Drosophila melanogaster: one gene and its partners. The protein of the gene in region 2 interacts with the protein of the main gene of each other region in a pairwise test. Each region holds a gene or a part of one and is shown on either strand. Other genes may lie near its edges.

What was found.
Region 1: the proteins of opa (region 2) and CG6996 interact in a two-hybrid assay, tested with the Drosophila melanogaster proteins (one large-scale study listed by BioGRID).
Region 3: the proteins of opa (region 2) and Mst84Da interact in a two-hybrid assay, tested with the Drosophila melanogaster proteins (one large-scale study listed by BioGRID).
Region 4: the proteins of opa (region 2) and sol interact in a two-hybrid assay, tested with the Drosophila melanogaster proteins (one large-scale study listed by BioGRID).

The regions. Positions count from the first base shown.
Region 1 is NT_037436.4:20,205,064-20,211,001, reverse strand, and holds CG6996 (uncharacterized protein), read right to left. Parts: upstream 3,469-5,938; 5' UTR 3,378-3,468; coding exon 3,374-3,377; intron 3,137-3,373; exon of another isoform or gene 3,135-3,136; coding exon 2,044-3,134; 3' UTR 1,402-2,043; downstream 1-1,401. Other genes in the region: CG7017 (uncharacterized protein), read left to right, coding at 1-319; CG7290 (uncharacterized protein), read left to right, coding at 5,001-5,004, 5,076-5,938.
Region 2 is NT_033777.3:4,850,510-4,856,796, reverse strand, and holds the start of opa (odd paired), read right to left. Parts: upstream 3,985-6,287; 5' UTR 3,692-3,984; coding exon 2,743-3,691; intron 1-2,742. UniProt on the Drosophila melanogaster protein: Transcription factor essential for parasegmental subdivision of the embryo. It is involved in the activation of wingless (wg) in odd parasegments.
Region 3 is NT_033777.3:7,363,147-7,367,290, reverse strand, and holds Mst84Da (Male-specific RNA 84Da), read right to left. Parts: upstream 1,442-4,144; 5' UTR 1,359-1,441; coding exon 1,320-1,358; exon of another isoform or gene 1,265-1,319; coding exon 1,112-1,264; 3' UTR 1,029-1,111; downstream 1-1,028. Other genes in the region: Mst84Db (Male-specific RNA 84Db), read left to right, coding at 1,786-2,010; Mst84Dc (Male-specific RNA 84Dc), read left to right, coding at 2,762-2,929; Mst84Dd (Male-specific RNA 84Dd), read left to right, coding at 3,675-3,893.
Region 4 is NC_004354.4:21,347,794-21,354,051, reverse strand, and holds the start of sol (small optic lobes), read right to left. Parts: upstream 3,773-6,258; 5' UTR 3,444-3,772; coding exon 3,202-3,443; intron 2,418-3,201; exon of another isoform or gene 2,291-2,417; coding exon of another isoform or gene 2,286-2,290; intron 2,193-2,285; coding exon 1,567-2,192; intron 1,300-1,566; coding exon 387-1,299; intron 1-386. Other genes in the region: peng (penguin), read left to right, coding at 4,301-4,746, 5,348-6,050, 6,119-6,258. UniProt on the Drosophila melanogaster protein: Has a role in eye development. Calcium-regulated non-lysosomal thiol-protease.

The DNA of each region.
Region 1 (5,938 bases), on a different chromosome or scaffold from region 2:
CTCCCACTACTATATCTGTGGCAGCCCCGTCGCCGGCAAGCACGACACGGAGCCCAAGCACCTGAGCTGTCCACTTGGCCAGTACTTCGACTTCGAGAAGCTCTCGTGCCGCGACAGACTTAACGTACGCTGCCAGCTGGACAGGTGTGTGGGCACCAACATCACCTACGTAAACGTCGCCGGCGATTGCCAGAGCTATGGACGTTGCTCCGGCGGAGTGACCGTCAGCCTGGGCCAGTGCCCAACGGGCTACTACTTCGACGAGCGCAACCAGGGATGCACACAGACCAACTACCACAACATCGCATGTTCCGTGTAGGCTGTCCCAGAAGATCGCATCCTTACCACAATCCTTACCAAATCGCATCCAATTTAAATATCCAATAAATCGATCCAATTCATGGTGGAGGTCAAATGCATTGCTTGAAAGGAATTCATGTACTTTGTGGTGGGAAGTGTTAAGTTTTATGACATTCATCCATTTACTTTTTACCATGGAAATGGGTCTACAAATATTAGCTTCTCGAAAAATGTCCAATAAATGTGTTACTCCATTGAAACCTGAAATGTATATATATATAGTTTATCCATTGCATTTGGCTCTATTGTAGTTTTATTCCCTTTCCATTCGAATTTTACCGTCTGCTTCCTCTTTATAGAAGATGTTACCCTAACCTTGAACAATAAAATATGAATTGGTATAAATAATGCTAGAGAAATACTATGATTTTTTGGACTGATTTTTGAACTACATTGGCGGAAATGTTCATTAGCGAAACGAAGTTGGCGTGATAAAATTCTTCTGGCAACCCTTTTGATATCAAAACTGCGCCACACAACGATTCATATTTGGCAATCTGTTTTCGTGACACTTGCAGTGCCCAAAAAATTATCAGTTTTAATTAAAATTGTACCCCAGTGGAGGGTTCGGAGAATTTCAAACCGATTCCAGATAGTCCAGATAATGAATTCGCTACTCGGAGCTGCCGCGATCGCTTATTTCCGTGTTGGCCATCAGGCGAGCAAGAAGTATCCAACGCCCAAGGGTCGTTTTTGTCTATCACTAATTAAATTCAACTATTAGGGTCGATGTTACCCATTAGGTCCACAAATATTGTATGAGTGTGAAATGCAAATGAAATGCATCGACGCGCTTTCGTTCTCCATAGAAATCAATTATGTCCACTTTAAGAAGGAAGTTATACAAGTCCACAGGGCGGATGATTGATTTGTATGTAGGAAAGGTCAAGTATTCAAATGACAAACGGGGCAACTTTGCAGCCTCGCTATAATGTATTAGTATTTATTGATCATAACAAATAACGATAACAAATTCCGAAAAACTCAATAATATAAGTTATCTTGTTATGACACCTCATAGACATATGTACATGTACATATATGGTGCCTAATGAATAAAGTGGTTTGAATAATCAACTTTGTAGTACGATAACTTCGTACTTTTCCATTCAAATCTCCTATTGCAGTTGTTAAAAACGGTGATATCACCCATGTATGGGCCATGAATGGGATCCAATGGCTACCTCCCTGGTACTTTCCCATCGCCAAATTTCCAAGTGGTGTTCTTGAGTATGACATCACGGTTTCACGTTACCGAGTGTCTTGCTCGGCAATCGATTCAAGGAAATCTTGGCCCAGAGGTGATCTGGTAACTTAATCGTTATTGCGCCTGATTACACCACTTATATTTATTGTATCGGCGTCGAAAAAACAAACTGTCTAATTAAAACTGATTGCGTACGTCGCTCACGAGACCAAAATATTGCTGATAGTGCCATTCATCAGCCGACGTTTTCTGGCAGGCGGGATAAGATTATATTATGGCTCGGATGGTTCACAAATGAGTCAACTTTTAATCGTACAACTAAGCTTTTCGAAATAATCTTTTTATACCTAAATACATTTGAAAATTCAGATGTTTGTATTGTGATCAATTCCACGAAATCTAAACAAAGAGCTGATCTATAATTTGTATGGGACTTGGGCCTGATAACAGCACTACTTATACTTATGAGGAGCTGCTCACGACACCGGGACCGCAATGGTGGTGCTAGTGATGGTGCTGCTGGTGGTGGTGGTGGTGCCACTTGGAACTTGGGACCCGGTGGTTGCCTCCGATATCTGACAGGCGGTATATGATATGACCTGGGTGGTGCACCGTTGGGTTATTTCGTCGAAGTACTCGTCCTGCGGACAAGTTCCTTGGCCAATGACGATGCCATCCTGGCAGATCGAGTAGCCCCTGCAGCCATCATCCGACTCGTTGGCCAGCTGAATGGTGGAATTGCCCAAGCCCACGCATCGATCGTAGCCGCATTTCACCTTGGATCGCGGGACACAGGCTCCGCCATCGGTGGCCAGGAAAAATCTTCCATCGGAGCAGACGCCATGCTCCAGCGAGAACTCTCCATTGCCCAAATCCTTGCAGTAGTAGTAGCCATTGCAGGTCTTGTTATCCGATATAAATCCACCCGTCTCTGGACATACACCCTTCTTGCTAATATCTGGCACTGGGACGAAGTCACACTCCACATTCTGCGGATAATCGCACTGGGCCGTGGAGGCCTTGAAGTAGAAGGTGCCCGGACAGGTTCCATTGATCACCTGGCCATCCCAGCACAACTGATAGCCATTGCAGTTGTCCGTGTCCTTGACGAAGACCCCATCCGGCAAGATGTTGCAATAGCTATCCGGGTCCATTTTATTCGAGCACGGAAAATCGCGGATGCAGTCCTGCGTTCCCGAATTGAAATTCATCCCAGTGTTGCACACTCCGTGCGTCCCCTTGCCATCCTTGCAATAGTAATAACCATTGCAGGAGTACGGATCAGCCGCGAATCCGGTGGGCAGAGCAGCGCACGGATCACTGGACAGACACTTGATACTACTGGAACTCAGGCATTTCTGGCTCTCCCGGTCGTAGAAGAGTCCAGTCGCACAGCTACCACTCACAGGGCTCCCATCGATGCACTGAATCCACGCGTTGCACGCCCGAGGATCGTTCATCTTGGTTCCGTTGACCACCAAGCTACATATTAGAGTTGCATTGAAGGTCAGGGCGCCTGATATCGTGGGGATCATGATGAGTCCGGAAATGAAGGCGAGCTTTGTGTCTGTTTTGCATAAAAGGGTATAAGTACGATATTCGAAATAAGTTGCAAGTGAAGTATGCTTTCAATTTCGATTTAAATTGCATATTTTTTTTTCAATAAATGTTTGAGTTTTCGTTATGAACTTCTTGAGCCTAAGTCTACGGTTTTCTATATTTATATCTGTCTATGAAATGGTAATTCTTCTCGAAACAACAATATAGTTACTTCGATGGATATCTGCTAGTGCCAGAGATACTCACCCATCTCGAGTTCAGCAAACTTTTAGTATTCCAAAGATACAAGTACCTCTTAACGGCTAACGAGGAAAAGAACGTCTAACTGGATGCCATCCAAGTTCGCCAATAAATACAAATCGAAAGACAATGCTTATGCCCTCGCTACTTTTGGGTTTTCCGAAAGGTCTGTAAATTTTGGAAGCTCTAAGTTAGTCTAGAACTGTCTTCAGTGGCTAAAATGGACGCATGACGTATTCATATTTCACTTTTATCAGATTCGGTTAAATCCAAATTTGACAAGTGATAAACTTGGCCAACGCCGGTGCGCAGTTCATTTAAAACCCAATTTGTTTTTATTTTTGTCAACTTGTGCGGTCATACCTTTGGTTTTTTGGTAGTATTCGTTGTCGAATTCGTATCCGCTTGTTTATAATTACTATCTTTAGATTGGGTCTAATTTAATTTATTACACATATAGTAATTAACTTTATTTCAAAATCAAATGTTATTATGTTTATCGCCTGCGATCTGCTGACTCAGGTGCACACGACATTATGCTATTAATAGTCCACGATGACCGATTCTTACTGACATACATACTTATTGAGATTACTGTTTAAAATTATACATTATTGTGAAATTATTTACGATTAAACTAACTTTATGAAATAATCTGCCGATCGTCGGTTTTAATTGTACCTGATAGTCGTAGAGTAAATGAGTGTACAGAGTGTTCGTTGAAAGGAAAGATACTATTGTATAAGAATATAGAAGATTGATGTGAAAATTACTTGGTGTATAGGTATGCTACAACAAGTAAACCACATATAAAAAATCTAGTGTCCTTGAACTCCCTTCAAATGAGTACTGAGTATCTTAAAGTCGAGGAACTACACTAGCTTACTTGTTTTTTTAAAGTCAATTGGGCTTTACCACATAAGTCCAACTTTTCTGTTCCGATAGTAACAAATATGTCTAGGAATCGCCACAATTAGTCAATATTATTAAAAACAAAGTGTGTGGGTTTTGCCATATAATATGTAGGTAATTTTAAGCTAATTTAGATTACTCTAATCTCATTTCGTTTAATTGATTTGTTTGAAAAAAAAAATAGAAAGGACCATATTTGGAGAACTTCTTGATATGGTACTACTTGAATTATATAATTCGGTAAAAAACTCATTCAAATTTAATCAAGTATATACATTTGGTTAAACAATTATAACAATTATAAAGTCGTTAGCTTTAAAATGCGAACTCTGTTATAAGTTTAGAGCACGATGTAATTCTTTATTGCTCTTTTATTTACACATTAACTTTTTAATATTCCAATTATAGAAACGCAGTCTAAAAAATACATTTGAGTTAATAAAAAGAACCCAAATTTCTATCCGTCTGAGTTCTGGGAAAGTTCTTATCCCCACAAAAACTTTGTTGACTTGTCAAAATGGCCATCGATCATGCAAAAATGGTTCGTTGGCTTCGCTTGCGATACATCACAAAATGGGTTCCTGAGCTGAAGGGTCGTCGATCAACTTGGACAGCCCAGCGGATCGAAGATAACTCCTGGCTGGACTGCAAATAAAAGCCCAGGAAGTCCATCAACCAGAAACAGTATTCAACTAGGAGCCACCAAAAGAAGAAGCAAATAATGGGTGGGTATCGCATATAAAAGTTCGAAACAGGAAAAATTGGAACATCATATGAATATATTCAACGCTTCCAGGTGGACAAAAAGCAACCATCCTCGCTGCCGTGGCGCTGGTGATCGCCTGTGCCGCTCCAGCAATAGCCGATGTGAATGTCACCGCCTTGTGCCTGCTGGTCAGCAATGGGAACTACGTGGCCAGCCAGTCGGACTGCTCGACCTACTACCAGTGCCAGGGATCCTCGTTCACGGCCATGTCCTGTCCCCAGGGCTACTACTTCGACAAGAATGCCCAGCAGTGCACGGGCACTGTGCCGAGCACCTGCACCAGCAACTCCGATCCCTGTCTGGGCAAGGCGGTGGGATCCTTCGCGGCATCCAGTTCGTCCTGCGGCGGCTACTACTACTGCGGAGCCTCCGGCGCTGTGAGGGGCAATTGTCCTGCCGGCGAGAACTTCAATCCCACCACAATGGCCTGTGTGTACAAGAACAACTATCCATGCAGCGAGTCCGCCGGTGATGGCTCCACTGTGTCGGTCGCCCTCAACCTATGCAATCTTGTCAAGAATGGCTTTTACTTTGGAAGCCCTTCCGACTGCAGTGGCTGGAACTTCTGCCAGGACAACGTTCTGCACTCGGGATCCTGCGAAGATGGTCTAGTATTCAATGTGCAGGCCAGCAACTGCGGCTACAAGATGGCCTCATCCTGCGCCCAGGTCACCAATGATCCATCCCTGACCGGAGTGTCTGCTCCGACCACATGCTCCTCGTCGGGAGCAACGATCGCAGCCACCGCGTGCAACCAGTACTACCTGTGCTCCGCCGGCAACTATCAGCTGATGACCTGCCCCTCGGGATACTACTATGATACCATCTCGAAGGCGTGTGTGACCAGGATGGAAGCGAGGAACGACTGCGACAGATGTGTGGGCACCACTGCG
Region 2 (6,287 bases):
GAAAGAAACAAAAAGAGACATATGCATGTGGTGGTTTGTGTGAGTTTGGGATCTATATTCTGAAAGGACTCTTCCCACTATTACTCATATATCAGTTGAATCGAATTTGTTTTAGATCATCGTAACTATTGGTAAATCGAAGCAATGCAATCTTTGTTTTAAATAATAGAGATATATGTAAGAAAGTAAACATAATTATTAAGCCGAGAGAAACACACAATTTATGAGGCAATAGCGAAAAACTGGATTTGACTGAGAGTTATTTCACAACTATAATCTCCTACTCTCGTTCCACACTCGAATCTTAAAGTCAACTCCTGCCGCGGTGTACTGACCCCTTCGATCAGTTCGAGCTGCTACAGTGGCACCATTTGGGCAGATCTATATCGGCTGGATCCATAAACACGTACTTGACTGCCCTGCTCCGTTTTACTCACCCACTTATCAAACTCGGACCCCTCACCCGTCCCATCGGCGAGGAGTGGAAGCCAGGTCGTAAATAACCTTTGCATAATCTAAATCAAAAGCTTAATGTAGCATGGCGAGTAACCCAAACAGAACAGCACAGAAACAATCGCAGCGCAAATAAAATAAAGCTAGAGGAGTGGAATGCGAATGTGCGAATGCGTCCAGTAATCCGGCGAGTGTTACCCCAATTTCGGTTTCGATGGCTTTTTTGAGAGGGCCAGCACGGAGTGCCTCGGAAGCATTTCCGAGCCATTTCAAACGGAAGTTTTGACACGTGTCAACACAGTGTGTTCGAGTGTGTTTATTTGCCCTGGGTCGGCGGTGTCAATGCAATAAAAACAAACACCAGTGCCAAGGGACATTTAGCCGAGCCAGCGATGCTGATTGAATTTTTGATTTATGCGGTGTGGAGGATGCTACTTCAAGTGCCCGAGTCGTATGGAAAGGTTAAAGGCCCCGATCCCAGCCAGATACCAGACCGATCCCAGCTCGATCCCGATCCGTAATGAAGTTGTGCGCCGGCCACTTGAAAGCTAATCAATATGTTGGCTATCTCCGACAATGTGTAGCCAGGTCAACCAATCATAGGCACACACAAATCAGTCAGAGGTCCTAAAATGCACTTTTCTGCTGCATCACGGCGGAGAAAAGAAATATGAAATTAGTCAAAAATATCATCATACAGCAACCAACTCATTATAATGCCACATGATTGTTCCAAAATCGAACACAATATGGCGGCGTCTCGAAATCAAATCGAAACATTTTAATTACCTTTCGATGAGTGTGCAAAAGAAAATACTGTTGTCCGAACAGATTTACAGAAATAGCTTTTTTGTGTGGCTAATTCTGTGATTTATGAATTTCTTTGTGAGTTTATAATCGCGGTAACTACAAGATGAAGCTATAATGAAGCCCGACGTCTTATTTTAATTCAATTTGGAATCATGAGGCCAAATTACAAAATAATAGAAATAAAGAGGCAACAACAAATGCCAAAAGCCAACATTAAAACAACAAAATATAAGCATGCTGGATATTGCGGAATATTGCTGGCCATATTTTCATTCTTCTCCTCCAATTTCCAAGTTAATTACGCCAAGGCTGAGGTCAATCAAGGATAATCCAGGACCAAGCGATATTTGCTGGAAAGTTTATTAACCTGATTGGCGCTCTTTTCACCAATTATGCGAAACTTTGTTTTGTGTTTTCGCATTTCATGTTTGCTTTCCCAACTTCCACTTGTTAATTGATTTTAATGGCTGTGTTTCGCCGCTTCTAATGAGCCCTACATGCTCAGCCATAAATTTCAATGGAACAAGTTCAACAGCCACTGGAATCAAAGTCATTAATTTGCGTTAAGCTCCGTTTCTGGCTTTATAGTTCGACTTCTCATAGATCACGACTATACCGCATAAATTGTATTTTAAAGCCTCCAACTATGGCTATGTTTTTTCAAAAGTGTTCAGGCTATGAGCTGCAAAGCGATTTTAATTTATTTTTGAAAGACAATTGAAAGAGAAATGCTTGAAATGGGCATGATTAATGATGGATTTAAGAAAAATTAATTATATTGAGAATTTGCATAGAGCGGTTGGCTATCAAAGTAATAGTAAGCCATTATTATTAAATAATACAAAATCTGAAGCCGACAACAAGGCTTAAAGTATAAAAAACAAAGGAGTAGCTAAACTAAATTTTTCAGTTCCTTTACAAATTTGACCAAGTTTCCAAACGTAGTTAAATACATGCCAGTCAAAATCCAAAGTCAAGAGAAGTCGCAGGCTTAGGGAAATACTAAGACCAAAAGTCGAAGTCAACCTAAAGCCGTAGAGTAATCCTAGCCGTAAGGACAACATCTTTGCGGGATTTTCTGGGCGCGGAAGAGCTTTGGGCGCAGGTTTTACAGGTGTCATAAAAGATGACCCGCCCGGCCAGTGGCGGGTTAAGCCAGGTAGTGGGCGTTGCAACGACTTTTGCCGTCGGTAACACGCTCACATCGACAACGTCCGGGATTTGCCCAGGCGGGCAAGGGTTATGCCCACGCAAGGTGAATTCTAAGAGATTGCAGACCTAGCATGTGCTATTCTAAATATAAGCGGTTAAAATCTGCATAAGGCTTCGACTTTCTATTAGTATTAAGATCTTTATAAAACAGGAATAATTACACACAGAATTTGACTGCCAAACCAAAACTAAATAAAAGTATTTTCTTAGTTTAATGAATGGTTTAATATGGTTTAAATATAAAGCGGAATGCACCGCCACACTTACCTGTATGCGTCCGCTTGTGGATCTTGAGGTTCTCGCTCCGGGCGAAGACCTTGCCGCAACCCGGGTGCGGGCAGGCGAAAGGTTTCTCGCCGGTGTGGACGCGGATGTGGTTGACCAGCTTGTACTTGGCCTTGAAAGGGCGTCCGTTGCGAGAGCAGCCCACCCAGAAGCAGGCGTGGGTGGTGCACTCGGGTCCGCCCACGTGCTCCACGGTCAGGTGGGTGACGATCTCGTGCATCGAGTGGAATACCTTGTTGCAGGTCTTCCTGCCGCCCGGGGGCACCAGGCCCGGCTGGTCGGGGTCTATCCAGAGGCACTGCATCTCCTGCTTAACGCTGGAGGCGGACGAGGCCGGCTGATGGCGCATGTAGCGCAGGAAGGCCCCTGCTCCGGCCGGGTGCATCGCGGACATGGCGTGGTGGGACGGGTGGTGCACGACCGGGTGGTGCACTGCCGCCGTCGGGAAGTTGCCGTGGTGGTTGTACGGGTGGCCGGCGGCGTAGGCATCCGCCATGCCCATTCGCATCTGATGGTGGTGATGGTGGCTGTGGAAGGGGTGTTGTCCGAACCCGGAGCCCAGCTCCGCGGCCTGAGCGGGAAAGCCGGAGAAGAGCATGGAATCCGCTGCGGCGGAGGCCTGTCCGGCGGATCCTGCCACACCGTACTCGGCCTCCCTCCTGCCCAGCAAAAAGTCCCGGGAGGCATAGCTGTTAAAGTGCCCATATCCGGAGTTCTGATAGGCTGCAGCAGTGGCCGCCGCGGATTCCTGATCCTGTTGCTGTTGCTGCTGCTGTTGTTGCTGTTGTTGCTGCTGCTGTTGGGTCATCTCCAGTTGCTGCTGCTGTTGCTGCTGCGCGTTGCTGTTACTGGCGGTGGTGTTGGGCGACATTCGCAGCCCGTAGCTGGCCAGGTGGTGCTGAGCCGGCTCAATGAAGGCGTTCATCATCATGGTTACAGTGTTATTGCTCGCTTATATGTTTTTAAAATTAATTCAGAAAGAACTGAACTACAAGTTTTCGATTCGCACTTTGCTAGGCCAATGAGCCCATCACGCACTGAGGTCACCTCACTTAGCTGTATATACTGTGCGCTTATTTCGCTCTTAGATATTTCGCATGCGACTTGATACTTATTTACGTAATGCACTCGCGCGCGATGCGTTTCTGGGGCGTTCGAATCGCAGCAAGACTTGACGCTAACCGAATGCCAAGACTTGACGTTTCAAGATGCGCAGCAGGACTGAAATGCTCCTGAAATTCTAACTCGCTGCTGTGTTGCCTCGTGAAAATATCTGCCGACGATCGCATGCGTGCGAATGGGATCGACCTATGCACGACGTAAAATGAATAGAGGGTAACGAAAGCGCGAGTGCGAGCAGGCCAGGCGTATGACCTGCCTGTGGTGAGTTGCGCTTGCCATGGTGTATTCGGCACAAGCCACCACTCTGTCGGATAGGCCTGAGCCATGGGTGCGAGTGCGACAACTCTAAGAAAATGGCCGCCTCCTCGCATGCTCCAGAGTCGGACAGAAGAGCACAGAGGCTGCGCACTCAGTCCAATTGGAACCCACCCGACCATAGCGCCCTCTCGCTCGGCAAACTGGTTTCGCGAAAATTAACACCCACTGCGGTTGGCCATTGGGTGGTGGGCCGACAGCGTGCGGCGTGCGCCTGTGCAGGGGGCCCAAATGCTGATTGGACCGACGGGCAGCCAATTGAAAGCTCGCGGGGATGCATTTTCCAGCCCGCTCCTCATTGTCACGGCGGACGAATAGCCCGCCACTTCGGGTAGCCCAGCTGTCAGCTTATCAAATTAGTTGTTTATTTTATTGATTTTAATGATATTAAGCACATTCCGTGCTCGGACATCGGAGATTTCCAGCCGTTTTGTTTAGGTTGCGCCATAAAGACGTACGAGATTTCATTAGCGCCAAACGCTCTGTTTTTCATTTGCTAATTTATGGAATTTTCAATAAGCAGTAGTCGAATCAATACATAATCTTGTATCAATCGACTTGATTGGATTCTGCTGAGTGTTAAGTGCCCCGGCAAAGTGGCTTTTGGGGCAGACTGTGAAGTGATACTTCGCCTGCATAGGGCAAAAATGTATAAATTTATTTTCATACAAAACATTTGCTTTGTGATAATATGGTATAACACTATGCTGTATGTATATAGTCAGACGCTCTTCTCAAAATATATGATTTTTTCTATTTACAATCCAAAAACTGAGCGATGCAAAAGGAAGGTCGTTAACATCAAAATTGTCTTCGTTTAGTATTCGTGTTTTGAACTAGTCCTCATCTGTAGATAATTTAAGGTTGATATGTAATTGCTGGCAGAGTATTAAAAATTGCTTAAGCTTTTAAAACGATAATAATTAAAATCAAATTGAATTTGGATATATATTGAGTAATCAAATTTTTATTCAAAAACAGTATTTTCTAATCAAATATATTGCCCTGAATTTATCGTTTGAGAAAACAATATTTCCTGGTAAAGTTTAAATGAGAATGAGAGCAAGAAAAGACCATGTGATTCCATGCTAATTACCTTGATTTCCGCAATGAATTAATTGGGGCAAATTGTGACATAAAGCGTCACCGCCAAGCGGTTCGGCTATTAAATTGTCAAAACAACTCAGCGGCAATCAGCAATCAGCGGACGGCAATCGACAGTCCATAGTCGTCCGAATGTCATACCGACCCCAATGCCATTTTGGGAGACGGGCAAGACCATAAAGCAGCGGAAAGTGCACCGAGCTGGCAGGCACCCAGTCCCGCAGAGCTCCAGCGACAAGTGTCACTCGAAATGAAGCCATTGCTCCATATCGATGATGGAGGATGAGGACGAAGCCGCCGGGTTGGAGCAGATGATGGGCTGCAAACGGAGCAGTCGGCTGAAGTGGATTTCTAGCGCACTGCCATAGAACTACTCCCATAAATAATGCCGTACGAGCCACTTGAAAATGGAAGCGCAAAATGCAATAAACTCTTAATAACAAAAAAGGAGCGGGGGAAACAATCTCAGGCGCTAGCAAACAAGAAATTATAAATTTAAAATGCCCAGATAAACAAAATGCAAGTTGGCCCAGCAGGTTGCAGCTTCTGTTGTTGTCTGTGATTCAAGAGGTCCATTTTGGACTAGACCGAATATCCACTTTCCAATGCAGAAAACGAATTTAACGACCCAGTCAATCATTCCAAGTTCAATAGAAGCTCTGAAGATCCAAGTAACATCAAAAATCTTGTAGCTTTTGCGATTTTTTAATTATCTTCCTCCATCATAGCCAACCATATGTTTTATAGTCGAGTTCTTTTAAGCCCTGATTATTTGCAATCCGTCGTGTTAGTAGACGTATTCATATTTTGGTGTCGATTTCACCCCTAAAAGCAGCGGACTGAACCCTCAGCTGTGCTTAATCAGTTTGGCCACAACCAAGTGGGCAACCAACCGGTGGGCGTCGGGGACAACCTGGGGACATGGCCGCGTGGCATGGGCACGGACTCATCAGAGTCAGAGCCGAAATCAAAATAAAACCGTAACC
Region 3 (4,144 bases), 2.5 Mb from region 2:
ACCCCTTGAGTATGACGTCACGTTGAAACGTTGCAATATATCTCCAACGGATTGTCCAGATGTTTGTGTCTGCTGCTTGGATAACTTGACATGGCCATCATTTATTGTCGATTGCAGAGGAGAAGGACTTCTACAGATGCCTTCACTTTCAAGCAGGGTTACCTATGTGGACCTAAGGAATAACAACCTTACGGCCCTGTCACAGAAGAATCGTTCTTCTATCGAGAACAGATCGTTAAAGCTGCATTTGCTTGACAATCCCTGGTCTTGTTCTTGCAACGATATAGAAAAGATAAATTTCATGAAGAGTGTGTCTTCAAGTATAGTAGACTTCACTGAGATAAAGTGCAGTAATGGTGAGAAGCTAGTCTCGATTAATCAGCATATTGTGTGTCCATCTGACCTCTTTTATTATTTGGCACTCGCGATCTCCCTAGTGGCCACGATCATTGCCTTAAACTTTTTGATATGGTTCAGACAACCGGTCCTGGTCTGGTTCTATGAGCACGGTGTGTGTCTCAGTCTGTCAGCCAAGCGGGAACTTGATAAGGACAAAAGGTTCGATGCCTTTCTGGCGTTTACCCATAAGGACGAGGCTCTGCTGGAGGAGTTCGTGGATAGGCTGGAACGTGGTAGGCCCAGGTTCCAACTCTGCTTCTACCTGCGAGACTGGCTGGCGGGCGAATCTATTCCCGATTGCATTGGTCAATCTATAAAGGACTCGCGGCGCATTATTGTCCTCATGACAGAGAACTTTATGAATTCCACTTGGGGTCGCCTCGAGTTCCGACTGGCCCTCCACGCCACCTCACGCGATCGGTGCAAGCGTCTGATAGTGGTGCTCTATCCAAACGTGAAGAACTTCGACAGTCTGGATAGCGAGCTAAGGACCTACATGGCATTTAACACCTATCTGGAGAGAAGCCATCCGAACTTTTGGAACAAGCTGATTTACTCGATGCCGCTACTACCAAGCTACGTTGACTAGGACATTACATTATTAATTTCAATAAGAAACAAAAATATATAATTTGTTGTCTCCCACACAGTTTATTTTTTGAGATTTACATAGTTCCCGGAAGTATTCCGACAGGTTTCCGGGTCAACTGGTTTAGCAGCAAGGACCGCAACCGCAAAAACTGCTGGTGCCGCCGCAGCAAGGTCCACATCCTCCGCAAGGACCACAGCAGGGGCCACACCCACCACAGCAGGGGCCACATCCACCACAGGGTCCGCATCCGCCGCAGGGGCCACAGCAGGGGCCCTGATAAATCATATTAAAAGTATTCACTCGACTTACGAGACCGATAAATACATACCCCAACCAAAACGTAATTCGGGTTGACGTACATGTACATGATTTTGTTTCTTAAAAGATATTTCCCAACCGGAATCGAAAGGAACCGAAAATTTAGGTGTTAACTATTGAAGGTGGAACGGAGAACTGACTGAATGTGATCCAAATTAGCCGAAGCTTCATTTGACAGCAGTCATGAGAATTTCAAGGCTAATATGATCCGACAAATTATATTCATTATTATTATTATATTCTGGTATCCCAAAACCCATAATCTAGTTAGCTATGGATATTTTCGACAGTTGTCAAATTCATATACCAACTTGTGAGTCAGGTTTCCATCATTCTTATTTTGGTTCTCGGCCTGTAATCATCGAAATATTTTTTCGTCCTAAGTTATTTCTTTGTTAGGTTCAAAGTGAGTATTTCTCAAAGTGTAAGCATGCGAAGTTTTAACAAAATTTTTCTTAGAACTTTACGGAACCATCATGTGTTGCGGACCCCTTGGATTCTGCGGACCCTGTAGCCCGTGCGGCGGTCCTTGCGGACCTTGCGGACCCTGTGGTCCTTGCGGTTCCTGCTGTAGTCCTTGTGGATCTTGCTGTGCGCCTTGCGGCCCTTGCGGTCCTTGCGGTCCTTGCTGCGGGGGCTGTGGTCCATGCGGGCCTTGTGGACCTTGCTGTGGACCTTGTAGGCCATATTGCGGGTGCTGAACAACAACCACAACATGTAAAATATCTTTTTCCTGTGAACCACAAAGTGGAACTTAGGACTGAATGCGGATAAACTCTTCTTAGCTCGCGGGCCTAGTCAATAAAATAAGAATTTCAAAATACCTTTTCCGATGGTTTTTCTCTTCTAAATGGTGCAACCTTTGTCTTAGCTATGGATACCAAATGCGTGACAATAATAATTTATGTAATATAATTGCGAAAATTAAAATTGTCAATTCTTGGTGGATTGCGATCGTTAGAGGGGGCGGAGGAACATCCTACGTTCATATCGACTAGGCTTGTGATCCAGCTCAAGAATAAATAACCTTTTCTTCTATTCACTATAGCATAGCTATTACTCTACGAGTGGCGGGTATAAAACCTGCAACCGTGAATTTAAACCTCATTCAATAATAGTATTTGTCTGCAAACGGACAAATGTCCGATAACAATAATTCTATAACAATAATAACTATTTTTAACCATCAACCGCTGTACATAAACATAATTCGAATTCATAGTAGGCTATGGAAATCGTTCTTGACCTGTCAGACCCACCTAACCTTGTAAGTTCGGAAAATATATCATTCTCATCTCGACCCTTGTGCTGCTCGCATCAAAATTTTGTTGTTTTGTCCCAAATACTTGTTTTTTTTTTTTGGCTTCTAAAGACCGTTGGTAAAAATGTTTATTGTAAAGTTAAAATAGTATACATATTTATTTCGTTTATTTTAGACTTCTCGAATTAATCATGTGCTGTGGACCTTGTGGATCGTGCTGCGGATATTACTGCTGTGGTCCCTGCTGTGGACCTTGTGGACCCCGATGTGGGCCGTGCGGATCCTGCTGTGGACCCTGTGGACCCTGTGGACCTTGTTGCGGACCATTTGGCAGTTGTTGCGGTGGCTGTTGGTGCTAAATGCTCGCAATTGGCAGCCGAATCGATTTGTGAAACCATACCACAATCCCACCATGGTTAAACTAACACCTGAAAGTTAAAAGCCACAAATATATATATATGTATCTTAATGCAGATCCATGTTATCATTGGGATAGTTCACCATTGCTCTTACTCGGCGTTACTCGTTGACATAATAGGAATGCGTTTCGTAATATGTATGTGGGTGTAGGTTTCTTGATCAGGAACACTAGCCGGATACTAAGCGAGCAGATTGTATTGCGCTGCGAGCACAAGTTGCTATATGGAAATGGTTGAGACGTTCTTGGTAATACCATTTTATTTTACACGAATGACGTCTCAAGGTGATTGATTCTGCCTTCCGACGAGCTTCACTAGGACGTTCTTTGTTGTTCCCATCTGGATCAGTTGTACTGCTTGCTACGGCAGGACATTTTCTTAAGCACGTTATTGTAAAATTCACTAAAGAACAAAATTAAATTCCTTTTAGGGCATTGATATAAAATTTTTATTAATTTTGCATTTGTTTATTTTAAATCTAGAAGGCTTTGAATCTATATTCTACTTTCCTGTGCAAGTTCTATGTAAGCAAACATCAGTTTTCATCTTTCCCTTAACCCAAGAACATCAAAATTTGAGCTCTTTTCCAAGCTTTTTAGGTTCAGCACTTTGTACGTAGTTTTTTATTTAAGAAAATTGTTGGTATAATAGCTTTTCTTTTAGTTCTCAGAAATTAAAAAAAAACATGGGCTGTGCACCGGGCGGACCTTGCTGCGGACCCTGTGGACCGTGTTGCGGACCCTGTTGTGGACCCTGTTGTGGACCCTGTTGTGGACCCTGTTGTGGACCTTGCGGGCCCTGCTGTGGCCCCTGTGGACCTCGTTGTGGCCCTTGCGGACCCTGTGGACCGTGCTGTGGCACTATGGAAAAACGAAATGGCCTTCAGCGGTGCTGTCCTTTTTAGCTGTGATTTCCCGAATAAGCAACCAAACTGTGTCCAAAAAAAGATTTCATTAGTCTATTGTGACAAATAAAGGGGAACTATGAAAACTATCAAATTAATGGATCTTAGCAGGGAGCCAATGTAATCATTGCAATTTCATTCATTCACACTCCGTACAAGAACTATAAAGATTACTGCTTTTCCTCTGCTACCTTTGCTTCACAAGCCGATGACGAATGACAAGCCAATCCAAAAAGGCAGTAGCTGAAGAG
Region 4 (6,258 bases), on a different chromosome or scaffold from region 2:
TTCAAAATTGATTCAACACGGGAGATAGGCGAAATCAAAATGTAATTAAATTGAACACTTGAACCACAGATTGTCATAGCCGAGATCAGCACGATTGCGAATGAATTAATTACCTCAACCAAGTTGTGACAATCTTGTGGCAAGCCAATCATTAATTTAAATCATGCCCATAAACAATTTGCTTAAATAATACAACTGAACTTATAGCGGGCAGAATAAAAATAAAAGCTGGTGGACGGGCGAAATACAAACAGAAGGCCGCAGTGACTAAGCGCCACGCAAATTATCAGCAAAAATAAAAACGTAGCCAACTGATAAGCTTCTGCGGGGGATAGGAAGTTGGATGGGTGTGGACTAATCTCGGTCGCACGCTAGCTGCCAATTACATTTTCGACTCGGTCGCCTTGCGCGGTCCCTTCCACACTTTGGCGTAGATGGAGTGCTCCTCCACCTGCGACTCGGATTCGCTGGCCTCGCCGCTGCCATCGGTGCTAGTGCCTAGTCCGGCGGTAAGGGATTCACTGACCGCATCCGCGATCTCGCCACTGCCAGTGTTGTTGTTCGTTTGCGATTCGCTGGCAATCTGTTGCTTCTTCTTGAGCTTGTGCTGCTTGTTCACCTGCGCATAGATGGGCATGGTAGCCGTTGGAGCTGGTTCGGCCATAGCCTTAGCTGATGGCGAACTCGCAATGGCCACCGCCGTCGCGGCTGCCTGTGCCGCCTGCGCAGCAGCTGCTCTTAGTTGCTGCTGGGCCAGGGCCACGCATTCGTTCTCATACAACTTGTTGCTGCCGCTGGAGCTGCTGCTGTTGTTGTTGATGATGTTGCTGTTACCGCTGCTATTGCTATTGCTGTTGCTGTGATGGTGATGATGATGGTTGGAGCTAGAGGAGACGGAGGAGCTGCTGGCCATTGGCTCCGACCACTCGTTGACGGCTATGAAGACGCCGTTCCGCGGAATGGTGAACTGCGTGGGATTCATACTCACTGCTGCTGGCTCCCGCTGGGTTTTCCGCTGCAGCTGCTGCGGATTAGCCGGTGACTTCTGCTGCGGCTCCTGCTGTAGATTCAGATTTAGATTAACGACCTGACGCAGTGGCTTCATTTGGCCATGGCCGGCATCCTTGGCCGCCGACCGAGAGAGCGTGGTGATGGTAAAGTTGTACTTCCGCTTGGCACCGCTCTCGCGAACCACCTTGTGATTCTGGTTCTTGTTATTGTTGTTCTGTTTGCGCCTGCAAAAAGTGTCGTTGGCGATGGCAAAACGGGAGTTGCTGCAGGCGGCCACGGGGGGAATCCCTGCGAGAAACACATAGGGATTAGAATTGGATTATCGGATAACAAGTGCGTGCATTCCGGTTATGGGAAGCTAACACTTTCATCATGATCTGACTAAGATTAAGAACTTTACAAAAAGAGAATAGACTTTAAATAATTCGGTTGTCCATTTAAAGAGTTTCTTCTAGTAAAAATTTGGAAACGATAGGCTGGCCAATAAGAATACCTTATAGTTATTTCCTCAAGTAACCTTTAACCTTTCATTAGTTCGTTAGCTGATGAACGCACCTGTCAGCTGCGGCGCCGGCTTGATCTGCGGCAGATTGAAGATGTCCTTGCTCTGGTTGTTCGCATAGCAAATGTGGCAGCTGCGCCCGGAAGCGCTCTTGTCGATAGCGGTGCTCAGGCTCTGGGTGCGGCGCAGTCCAGAACCCGAGCCCGGTCCGGATCCCGATCCGGATGCAGATCTACCTTTGAGGTGGCGCTTATGCAAGTGCTGGGAATGTAACTGATGCTGATGCTGCTCCTCCAGTTCCTGGTGGAGGTAGTGGTGATGATGATGTGGATGTGAATGGTCCGCCGCCAGCAGCTCGCCGCGATTGCCCAGGCTGCCAGCCAGATCCTGGCCTCGGTCGGCGGCGATGGCGTCCTTGTAAATGGGCGCCAGATAGCTGACCGTGTCGCAGATGAGGCAGTGCCAGGTGACCGAGCTGTTGTCCGTGCCGCAGGCGTGGCACACCCACCGCCGATTCAGGGCCGGATTCGAGAAGTGGCGGTACAGCTCAATAGAGCTCTTGATGTACTTGCGCGTGTCCTCGCAATCCACGCAGTTGGCGGGCAGATTCTGGCTGTTCCGCTGTGGTCTTTTCAAGCATCCGCGCAGCAGGGACTTGTACACATGCTTGTACTCGCTCCTGCAAAATAGGGAAATGGGGTTTTTCGTTTTTCGTCGGGTTTGGATGGGATTCGGTGTTCTTGAGCTGTTTGGGCTTTCCCCACTTCCTGACCGCAAAGGTTATCTCAATGACTGGCCATTTTCCTACTCTCCGCTCGTCCGCTCGACTCGGAAGTTGTTCCTACACCTCTTTTGCTCTTCAGATCGCCGAGCGAGTTCGCGAATCGATAAACTTGTAAACAATGCTTCTTTATCCAAATCGATTTTCCCCAATTCTCGCTGCTCCTCGGCTGTTTTGTTGTTGCTTCTGCCTCTGCTGTGTATACATGCTCTCACATACACACACTCGCGCACACACACACACACACACACACACACGCTCAGGGACAATCACCAGTGCCGACGGCTTGGCTTTTAAAGCTAGACTTTTGAACTGTGTACTTGTACACACTGTACCTTTTCCTAGCCTTTCGAAACTTAAGTTCGTAATATAAAAATCTTTCAACTTATTCCTATACTCCCATTCGAGTTATTCCTATGGATAGTTAATCAGGATTTTCCTAACCGATTTCATTGTTTTCTTATTCTTTAAGTTTCATTATGCACAAAAGGGTTAGTGAGAACTATAAAATTTACTAAGATTTACTCGGTCTGCTCTTTGGATATTAAAGTTCAGCATAGGAGCTTACGTTGGTAAGCTTTTGGTATTATTATTCTTTGAAAGTTAAGGTTTTTGATTGACGAATTTTACCGATGAAAGTATGTACATATTTGTGTATTTGTATATTTTCCAAAGTGTGCATACAATGTGTGTGCGAAAAAAGTTGGATTTGAAAACGCCACCGATTTCTATACACATTACCATATGCGACATGATTTTAGCTAGCGCTTTTGTCCTCCAATTGGATGCCACCACTGGCGCCCACATACACACACACACACACGCATACAGACACAGACACACACAGGCACATCCTCGCAGAGGAGGCATACAGGCTGTTTGTTTTTGTGGCGACCGCTTCGCTTACCTGGCAACCGCCGCCCTGCCCTTCTCCTTGTCCCTCTCCTGCCCCTTCTCCGCCTGCTCCTGCTCCAGTGCATCATCAGCTGTCCAGGAGGCGGTGATGCTGCTGCTGCGATGCTGCTGCTGCTGTTGTTGGGGGAACACCTTGCGGACGGTGCCGCAATTGAAGCACTTGAGCGACTCCGTGGGATTGATAGTGTTACATTTGGTGCACGACCACTGCAGCACGGATGAGATGGTGCCCATTGCGCGGGGGAGTCGCAGGAGTTCCCAGATTCCTTTCGACTTCTGAGTTGTTTCTCTTGCTGTTGTTGTTTTTGTTGTTGTTGGCTGGCTGGCGGGGGAGTGGATGTGGAACTGGGACTGTCTATGGAAACTATGATGTGTAGGTGCGCTTTCGAGCTGGTGGCCGGGCGGAGATGGAGATCAATAGGAGGACCAGAACCCGGGACCAAAACGAGGACCAAGCAGTGGCTTCCAACAGTTGCACGCCGCGTTCTCCGTCGCCGTTTCACACCATTTTTTAACTGTTGCCGCTAGGGTTGTCGACGTTCGCGAACACCTCCAACGACAAGGTTGCCCGAGTGCGTGAACTCTGCCGGACAGGGTTGCCAGCGCGAGAAACACGGCTGCTACCCCGCAAAGCCAGTGTTGGCAAGTGCCGTTAATGAAAAATCGGTACCTTCAATTTTTAGACCAATTCTAATATGTTTTTGGGAATGAATACATACATATATTCATAAAACGACGCAAATACATGCATAAAATTATTTGACCTTCTATAACAAGTAATCAACATTGAGGAGCTTAGTTTAGGAAGAGTTTAAATTTAATATTTAGACATGGATTATTATTTTTTAGCCGCTTTCAAATGGAAAGTCAAATTGAACTGAACGCATTAACTTGAGTTAAATTTTAAACAAATAGAAGCACTTCATTGATACTTACTGTATGTGGAACGAAAATACCAGATTTTGGTATTTACACAGCTTGGGTATACTGCAACAATCTGGTCACTCTGCATCAGCAGCACGTGTAGTTCGCTTTTTTGGCAAAAACATTTGCTGTTATTTAGTTGTAGTGTCCAAGAAAACGCAGCAAAGATGGTTAGCTCGGAGCCGAAAGGACCTGCTAACGTGGCCAACACGGCCTCGCCCCTCAAGGCCCATGAATCGTCCGGCAAGCGCGCCAACGGACAGAAGTTTAAGCCCGGTGGAGCAGGAGGCGCCAGGAAGTTCGACAAATTCGGCGGAGGAGCAGGCAAGTCGTTTGTAAAGCCAGGCGCTGGTGGTGCCAAGAAGTTCGACAAGTCTGGGCCCGGTGGCTTCAAGAAGTTTGACAAATCCGGAGCCACCGGCGACAAGAGGCTTGGTGGCAACAAGTTCCGCGGAAAACCACAAACACAGCCACAGGCGCCGGCGGAGGGCGAGAAACAGGACTGGAACAAGTTCAAGAAGGAGAAGAAGGACCTCAAGCTGAAGCGCAAGAGTGCCAAGGACACCTACGAGATCAGCAAGGAGGCCAACCAGATCCACGAGAAGTTGCGATGGTGAGCATCCCCAAAAACACGATGAACAGCCCAAACAATCGGTTATTATCATCCTTAGCGCTCAAATTACCTATACAAATTATGATAGCTCAACAAAATCGGGCTCTTTCATGCACTTATGTACATTCAGAACGTACAAAGTTGTTTAAATTTCATAAGGCATCAATCTATACGATATAGTTTTAATAATTATAAGTCATTTTGGTTCCTTAAAGGACAAGATATCGATAAACATGGCCATGTGGATCCCAAAACGAAGCACCTGTTCGTGGAAAAACCGAACATTGCCACTTGGTTCGAATTCAAAAACACCAAACATTTTATTCATGTTCTTGAAACAATAATAGCTAGTTAAGCATTTTGATCAGTATCAAAACTAAGTTAATATAGCCTTGTATTTCTGTATAAATGTTGAGTTAGAACCAAGAGCGTAGATTCCAAAGACGCCTATTTAGCGCATGCTGTTTTGTTTGGTCATAAACAAACCAGCTCTATCCTCTGTCGCGTTTTTTTTTTTTTTCGTAAAATTACAACTAATGAATGCGCAAATCCTATTGCTCTGATATATATATATCAACATAATTTGGTGCTTGTCTTGCAGCCGCCGAACGGAGAACAAGGACAAGCTGGTGGAGCAGATATACAAGGTGCTCAACGTGGGCGACACTATTTCAAAGGTGGTGAAGGCCCACGACACCGCCCGCGTGATCCAGAGCATGCTAAAGTACGCGTCGCCAGCTCTGCGGGCCGAGATCTCTGAGAAGCTGCTTCCCTTCACCGTGGAGATGTGCCAGTCGAAATACGCCCAGTTCTGCGTGCAACGGATGCTCAAGTACGGTGCGCCAGCCACCAAAGCCAAGCTGGTGGACAGCCTGTACGGACATATAGTGCGTTTGGCCGGACACAGCATCGGCAGTGGGCTGCTGGATTCGATGTATCAGAGCGCCACACCCAATCAGCGCATCTATATGCGCCAGGAGTTCTACGGCGATCTGTACCGGAAGGCCAAGGATTCGAATGTGAAGACTCTGAGCGACACCTATAAGGAGGCCACGAACATGAAGGCCTCCATTTTGGGGTCGGTTAAAGCAAACCTGGATCATGTGGCCAACAAGCAGCTGGTGGACAGTGCGCTGGTGCACGCCGTGATGCTGGAGTACCTGCGCGCCTGCGACGAAGATGAGGAGAAGCTGGAGGAGACGGTCACTGCGTTTGCGGCTCTAGTGCCTCACATGCTGTCCACCAAGGAGGGCAGCGAGGCGGCTGTTATATGCTTCTACAAGTCGACGCCCAAGAATCGCAGAGTAAGTGGATCACGTATAACGTGTGTTGATGAAACAGAATCTTATATGTATTCTAACCCCTTCTTCAGGCCATTATCAAGAATATCAAGGAGCACCTGCTAAAGATCGCCAACCATGAGCACGGCCACGTGTTCCTCATCTCGCTGCTAAACGCACTGGACGACACTAAGGCGACCAAGAAGGCAATTTACGATCACCTACACGGAGA